Ovis aries: one gene and its partner. The protein of the gene in region 1 purifies or fractionates together with the protein of each later gene. This does not show direct contact. Links are inferred from orthologs where the notes say so. Each region holds a gene or a part of one and is shown on either strand. Other genes may lie near its edges.

The links. The genes of interacting proteins can lie anywhere in the genome.
Region 2: the proteins of CDH5 (region 1) and CTNND1 purify together in Homo sapiens (affinity purification with western blotting; 3 studies listed by BioGRID and IntAct, counting the BioPlex papers as one, with this or other methods). This does not show direct contact. The link is inferred for Ovis aries from reciprocal best matches to the Homo sapiens genes CDH5 and CTNND1.

Annotation. Positions count from the first base shown.
Region 1 is NC_056067.1:33,733,309-33,736,937, reverse strand, and holds the end of CDH5 (cadherin-5), read right to left. Parts: intron 2,719-3,629; coding exon 2,204-2,718; 3' UTR 608-2,203; downstream 1-607. UniProt on the Homo sapiens protein: Cadherins are calcium-dependent cell adhesion proteins. They preferentially interact with themselves in a homophilic manner in connecting cells; cadherins may thus contribute to the sorting of heterogeneous cell types.
Region 2 is NC_056068.1:79,778,519-79,782,604, reverse strand, and holds the start of CTNND1 (catenin delta-1), read right to left. Parts: upstream 2,818-4,086; 5' UTR 2,594-2,817; intron 1-2,593. UniProt on the Homo sapiens protein: Key regulator of cell-cell adhesion that associates with and regulates the cell adhesion properties of both C-, E- and N-cadherins, being critical for their surface stability.

The sequences.
Region 1 (3,629 bases):
AAAATGCCATCCCTGAGAGATACACTGCTCAGAAAACGCTGCTGGCAGGGGTAAAGGAGCCAGGGGCCTTGCTGAAGTGAGTTTCATCTCTCACCTCCACAATTCAAGTCCTGAGTCTGTCAGGGAGGCCTCCTATTCTCGTTTTTGATTGCTTCCTATTCTCATTTTTGATTTCCAGGCAGGACGTCAATGTTGGGGTTCACACACCCAGGTGAAGTGCCAGCTGCTCAGTCAGTGTTGTTAGCCAGCTAATTAGAGATTGATTTCCTCCCTCACTGCTGATTTATCTCACCCACCTGGTCCATTTGCCACTTGGAAAAGGTGCGGCAGCTCAGCTGCCAGAGGCCCTGCCTGTTGTGTAGAGTCAGGGTGGGACTGGGGGGCATGTGCAGGCTGAGGGAAGGCACAGGCCTCTGGGAGGAGACCAGGATGGACGAGGTGTCTCTTGTTATTCTCTGCTGCAGTCACTTTCCTACAGTGTGTGTCTGAAGTCCTGACCGCAAGTGTCACCTTGCACTCTGGGTTCCTCTGATGGTGGTGGTGGTGCTGGTGGTGGCATGTATGTGCTTCTATTTCTCATGAGCTCACTTAGCTCTAGAAAGAGACGTATTTCAAGGTTTTTCTTTATTTAGTTATTTTAAAAAATACAGCATGGTTCCATGCACCAGTGTAGCCTGTATATATGTATATATATAGTCATTATTAGTCGAGCAGTTACTACAATGATAGGAAACAGATGGTTACAGGAATTTCTTGATCCAACTAAAATACCCGAAATAAAATTGTTAACCTAAATAGTAACCTGCTAATTATGCAAATACCCTTATTCTATATGTCTGTGAGAGCTAGAAGTGTGTTAAGTATTATTAGTATAAAAACTATAAAAAACCTAGTTATTAGTTAAAGATTAAAAGTCAGTGTTATCTACAATCCCCTGAATTGAGGGGCCTTGCCCACAGCAGGAGCCTTGGTCCATGACAGAGGGTGAATTGGAGAATTTGCCTCCTTTCTCCTCTCCCCTCTCCTGTTGAGTGATGCCCTTTCCCCAAGACGTGTCTGCAGTGGAAAGTTCCATATGTGGCTGAAAGTGGAAGAGACACAGGCGACCACAGGACTTGAGCAGGGGCCTTGCCTTCTGCAGGGAGGGGGCCCTGCTGGGGTTCCCTGAGATGTGGCAGCAGTGAGGCGTGAAGACAAACTACACGGCTCTGTTGTGCAGTCATGGGTCACACCTGAAGTGCCACCATGCCAAGAGGTCAAGAGTAGATGGACAGAAAGAAAAAAAGAGCATGACCGAGTGACCAGGAGAGGTGGGGAGGAGTCTTTTGCTCTGGGAACACCTGCCCAGCTTCCCAGGCAAAACTGGAGGGGTGTCATGTCTCAAATTGGGGTCACAGTGACCCCCAGCCCCTTCCGGAGGGAGTGGGTGTGAAGGTGGCCCTCACCCTATGATATGGTGTCACACTTGCTCCCCACTGCTCCTCCAGGGAGAATTCACAGTTGCTTCAGAGTTCAACAAGCCGCTTCCATGACCTTGGCTGGACTTTCAATACACAGTACAGCATAGTTGCAGGCACAGCGGGCCAGCGAGGTCACCTCGGGACCCAAGGCTGGGAGATGTCCAGGGGCCTTTCCTCTCTTGACAGGCCTGGGGAGAGGCTGAGGAATGCGGGGGCACTTGGGAGCGTGTGAGGAGGGTGAGGTGGGACAAGCGTGATGGGTGGTCCCAGTTTCTGGTAGGACAGGGCTACAGAGTGTCTTGCCCCACGGTAATGCTGCCCAGTCTTTTGCCTCCAGGCTGACAGGCACCAGGGCCTCCCCAGCCTCCCCAAGGGGTTCAGGGACCTCAAGGGAAGACCCCCACCCCAACCCCTGCAGCAACTGAGCATAAACGGCTTTGAAGAGCCAGAGAGAATCTTTGAGTTGGACCGGTGATTCCAGGTGACAGGGTTATATGGATGTCTCAACCCAGACAGCATACCAGCCTTGATTTCCCAGCATTTGGGGAGTAGCCATGGCTGAAATATGTTCCTGGACGTTTCAGGAACTTGGCTTTTGCCAACCAAGGTGGTGAAGTCTCTGTGACCTGCGAGGATGGGCTGTTAGGCTGGGACAGTGCTACAGTTGGAGGCCTCAGTGCCTTGTGTCCGACTAGCCTGAGCTGCAAGTGGTCTGGCTCCCAGGCCCAGAGGCCTGTGCCCCCCTAATACACCAGCTCCTCCTGGGGGTCTGAGCCATACAGCTCGGCCAGCATCTTGAACCTGGGTCCCCAGTCATTGAGAAAGTCATAATCAATGTCCGAGTCCGATGAATCCGTGCCCAGGGAGCTGAGGGACTCGGCAATGGACTCGGCGCCCTCGTAGCCGTAGATGTGCAGCGTGTCATAGGGCGGGCCGCCGCCGTCGTGGTCCGCCTCCTCCTTCTTCACCCCGATCATTGCGGCCATCTCCCCGGGCGCATGCGCCCCGGGCGCTTGCCGGGGTGGCTTCTGCACCTGAGCGTAGAGGGACGGCCGCGCGTCCAGCGCCGGGCGCGGGGGCTTGGCCCCGCCGTGGCGCACTGAGTTGAGCACTGACACGTCGTAGCTGGTGGTGTCCATCTCGCCGCCGCCCTCCTCATCGTAGGTGACCAGCTGCTCGTGGATCTCTGGCACGCTCTTGCCGTGGGCGCGGGCCTGCTTCCGGAGCCGCCTCCGCAGAATGATGAGGAGGGTGATCACTGTGGTCAGTGAGCCAGAGCTGGTCAGGCGGGGCGGAGGCTTATGCCCTCCCTTCCACCTCCCCCAGGCCCACCTGCTCCCTCCCCTCCTCCCTGGGCATCCCTGGGCGAGCCCAGCTCCCGGTGGCACGTGGGCCAACACAGAAGCTTTGGTTCCATCTGGTCGCATGGTGGGTCCACCCTCAGCACCCTCACTCCCAGCCCAGAGTCATGTCCATCCCAACCCCACCCCAGGGCATGATCCTTGTTGGTGTCACTGGCCACAGTAGGGTTGGGAGGAGAGGAACACAGTGGACCTTCTCTCAAGTTCATTTTCTCCTGCCACTCTCCTTCCCATCTAACTGCATCCTCAGTTCCTCCCACCTCGTAGCTCTGTGATGAATTCTCTGTCATCTACAAAGGCCAGGAGGCCATAGGTTGGGGCAGAAGAGGGGAAAAGATGGAGTTGGAATTTGGGGTGCAAAGCTTCTGAGCCATGATGACGATGGTGGGTCGTGACGGTGCTGGTGGACGTGGCTCCCGTTGCAGTAGCAGCAGCCACTCTTGAGCACACCTGCTGTGTACATTCTGGCATAGTGGTGGCACGTTTTCACGTTCTTTTACTCAGTTCAGTTCAGTCGCTCAGTCGTGTCTGACTCTGCGACCCCATGAACCGCAGCACACCAGGCCTCCCTGTCCATCACCAAGTCCCGGAGTCCACCCAAACCCATGTCCATCGAGTCGATGGTGCCATCCAACCATCTCATCCGGTATTATTATCCCATTTTACGTAAGTAGACTGATCTCAGAGAAGCTGAGTCCCTTGCCCAGAGTCCCATGATCAGGCAGTGGTGTGATGTTGGCCCTGCCCAGAGCTCTGAGGGGTGCGACTGCATAAGGGTTGCCAGCCCTAGGAGGGGTAGCCCACATGG
Region 2 (4,086 bases), on another chromosome or scaffold:
GAGGCTCAAATTCCTTAAAAAACAAAACATAAACCAGAAAACAGACAGAAAGTTACTGTAGGAAATTAATAGTTCATGCAAAATGGTTAGCACTCACTGAGAAAACAAGGTCGAGGGTGGGAGAGGCAGGGCCGGCTCTCAGTGGCAGGGGCGCCAGGAGGCGAGGGGTTATGCCGAGCCAATCATGTTGTTACTCCAACTGAAGAATGATCTATGCTTAATTTATTTGCATCCATCCTCTCACTCATCTCTAGAGATCATCTACCTCATAAACCCAAGGCTGAAATTGCAATTACTCAGAGCTTCTTTTTGAGATTTCCAACAGTCCCCATTTTTATCCTAGCTGAAAGAACGCGTTCTAACACCTTTGGCTCTCCAAAAGTGAACCCTAAGAAAGGAATTAAGACTCTAAAAACCCAAAGGAGGCCCCCACCTGGAACACAGACCATACCTTAGTCTTATAACAAAGAAACCAACAGCACAGAGGAGTCAAACAAGGACAGGAAAATCCGCAGAACTCATGCTTACTTGTCATTTTCTACCCCCAAACCAAAGTGAGGAGCAAAACAACAAGTAAAAGATTTGCTTATTCACACTCTTCCTGTATGTCCTGGAAGAACCAGCAGAGGTGAGGTAAAAGACGGGTCTTCCATCTTATCATCCAAAAGGCCAATAGCACACACCAGTCACAACAATGCCGCAGTTCCTGGAGACAGTCCTGGACGCTTTGCAGCGAGGATGCTCACTGCAGCCATACAAAGCCCAGTGTGTAAAGCTGGACCCAAACCACCACCACTCAGTCACCCAGAGCCCATTTTCAAACTGCCTTTGTACTCGCTCAGACTCCCTCATCCCTCCCCCTAAAGGCTGAGTGGGAAACTGACACTCTGGCAGCAACATGACCAATCCTCCAAAGATCCACCAAGAAACCCCCCTAGGCTGCAGTCAAGGCTGAAGGGAGCATTCGAAAATTTGGAAACGATGTAAGTACAGCCCACAAAATATACACATTGTCCTTTCTCTTTCTTTTTAACTGCACTTGCTATAATTAGATGATCCAGACATTAAAATCTTACTGTAGCCCTTGCATAAATTAGATTAAAAGAAGGGACAAAGTTCAGTTTCCTCTGAAGCTACAACCTCACAAGAATGAAATCATCTTTCAAGAAATAGTCTTGTCCTGGAAAAGAAATTCAAGGAAGTGTTCTAGTCTGAAAAGAATTAAGGGGTGGGGTGGGGTGGGGGGTTCAGAATCAGAGGATTATTATAGATACATGCCAGTTTAAATCTAATAGCAGCTTACGTATTAAGGACCATCCTGCCACAATGAGAGCAGTGTCTATTGCAGTTATAATTTTGCAGATGATTCGAATTTTCAAACGGAGAAGGAAGGGAACGTCCAGTTTTCAGCTACCGAGGAGCCGGCTATATGCTCGTCTAGTATTTTTGCAGGAATGTATGCGCAAAACAAAAACAGATCTTAAGATTAAACATGAGATATGAAAGCACAGCCATGGGCCTTCAGATCTTAAAAGATTTCTGGTTTCACAGCAAGTTAACCAAATCAAAAATGCACCTCCAAAAAGCAACTTTCAGATTGGTTTAAAAATAAGAATTCCCCCTGTTCTTTCCCAAACACACCCTAAACACTAGGGTCTGTATTAAGTGTTTTAGCCTGACCTTTTTTAAATCCCAGCCTCTTTCAGAGAGCACAAAGCTGGAAATGTCTCTTGTGTGCGACTTTACTCAGGTGAGCTAAAGCGCATGGCTAGAGGTTCCTTATCCCTTTAAGCACGAAAACCAGACATTATTGTATATGCAGACTGAACATACAACACCTCCACAAATCTTTGCCATCAAAGGTAGTTTTAGAAGGAAGGGGGTGGCAATCCAGTTACCAAGGGTCTATTTGTTTTCTTTTACAAGGCAAAGCAGAGAGGCTAAGTCTAGAAGGCGAAAGAGGCTCCCACCCACCACACCTGAAAAAGTAAAAGAGGGATCCACCCAGGAACAGCAGGGCTGAAACCGATCTGAGCCGTTCAAACTCTCCAGGGGAAAAATATCACTATTTAAGCTGCAAAGCTCCCTGCAACTTTCCACTTTCACAAATTCAATGATAAAAGGCAGAAAAAAAAAGTTTTGAAACATATGAAGAACCATCTGTATGCTTCCGACCCGGACAAATTCCTTTCCCAACCCACACACAAAATGCCAAAAAAAAACAACTTTTGGTTTGGGCTCTGAAAACAGAAGTTTGTTAGCCCAGCCTAGAAAAAAAACACATACAATCAAAGACCACACCAAAATGTAAATTTATGCAACAGCTCTCACCCCTCTGAATCTATTCATCTGCCTATATTAGACCTAGAAGTTTGTTTCTGGGTCTTGAATATCTCCCTTTGCTTTAAATACGATAAAATACCAAAATTCCCCCAAATAAGTAGAAAGAAAAATTAATAATTGTTTAAAAGTTACCCGTCAGCATAACAGACCCTCTCGTCTTCAAATTCCCTCGGTTACCATAAGACAAAAATTCAACTTGGCTTATCCTGCTTTACCCGTCTATACACATATTTTTTAAAAAGGCACACACCTCAAATGTGGACTTCTGAAAACCACTTCTTTAAGAGAGAAAACCAAGGCTCCGTCAACGTGCTGAGAAAGACAAATCCAGCAAGGTAGTTGCTTTTTCGCCACCTCTTCCTCCTTTCAGGATCTTTCCGGCTCTTCTTTCTCTCTCTCCCCCTTTTTTTTCTCTCAGATCCAACACCTAAAATGGAAGTTGCACCCAGCCAAAGGCTAGGGAGCCTGGGTGGTGACAAACTGATCTGGCAGCCCTACCCCCTCGCTTTCCTAAGTGATGTCAGCCCCTGAGAACTTCCAATAGGAGCTAGGCATAAATCAGGGAGCTGATTTTATCCAATAGGAAACTTTATTATAGGAAACAGGGGAAAAAAGCAAGAGGAGGAGAAAAAGAGACAGGGGGAAGTTTTATATATATATTTATATTTAAAGTGGAGACTATATAATCTCTAAGGGATTACTGCAGAGCTGGGAGGGGTCGGGGAAGGGGGCTGAAGGAACAAGGGCTTTCTAGAACGGCATGCCTAAGAACCACGGTTCTCTTTGATGGTGGAGTTCTTGCTCCCTCCTTCCTCTCTGGGTAGGGAAGAAAAAAAGCTGATTTTATTTGCCTGCTGTTATTTGGTTTGTTGCTTTCTACCCCAAACCATTTTCCCACAGGAAGATAAGAAGGGAAGGAGCAAGCAACACTAGAAAGAGGGCTACAGTGTGTTGACTGGGATGGTAGGGGATATCTGAGGTAAATCCTCAATTTTATCTTCGTTTAAATGCATTTGAGTTAATTAGAAAAACAAATACTTCGACTTAACATTTTTAGCATCTATACTTTCAACTGGGCTTCCCCTGTGGCTCAGCTGGTAAGGAATCCGGGAGACCTGGGTTTGATCCCTGGGTTGGGAAGATCCCCTGAAGAAGGGAACGGCTACCTACTCCAGTATTCTGGCCTGGAGAATTCCATGGACTGTATCCATGGGGTCTCAAAGAGCTGGACACAGCTGAGCTACTTTCACACACATACATAATTTCAACTAGAAGGAAGCTGAATCCACTAGGCTGTTGAAGAAAATCAGTCTTCTCATTTGCCCCAAATCAAAATAACGTGGGCTTGAGGGGCATCGTAAATGATATCCTATAAACAAGTGATATATTTGGAGACAACAGCACATGTAAGGAAAAGAAACTCTCACATCAAGAAAGTTCAATTCATTTGTGAAGTTCGGGCTTAAGAAGGTCTAGTTCGTGCATTCTCTTTATGCTTGACCTAAATAAAGGATTATAACAGGCATTCTTTTTCTCTTAAGAGTTATCTTTAATATGTTCTTAGACTATTAGGCCATGAAGGGCAGAGATTGAAAATTTTTTTATGCTTACAAAGACTATTTCATTAACTATATGAAAATGATAATGATAAACTGAAAATTTCCTCTTTCTTTCTTACTGAAAACTCTAAAAATCTGAAGACTGCTACCAAATGAATCTTCATAAAGGTTTCATAATTTAAAA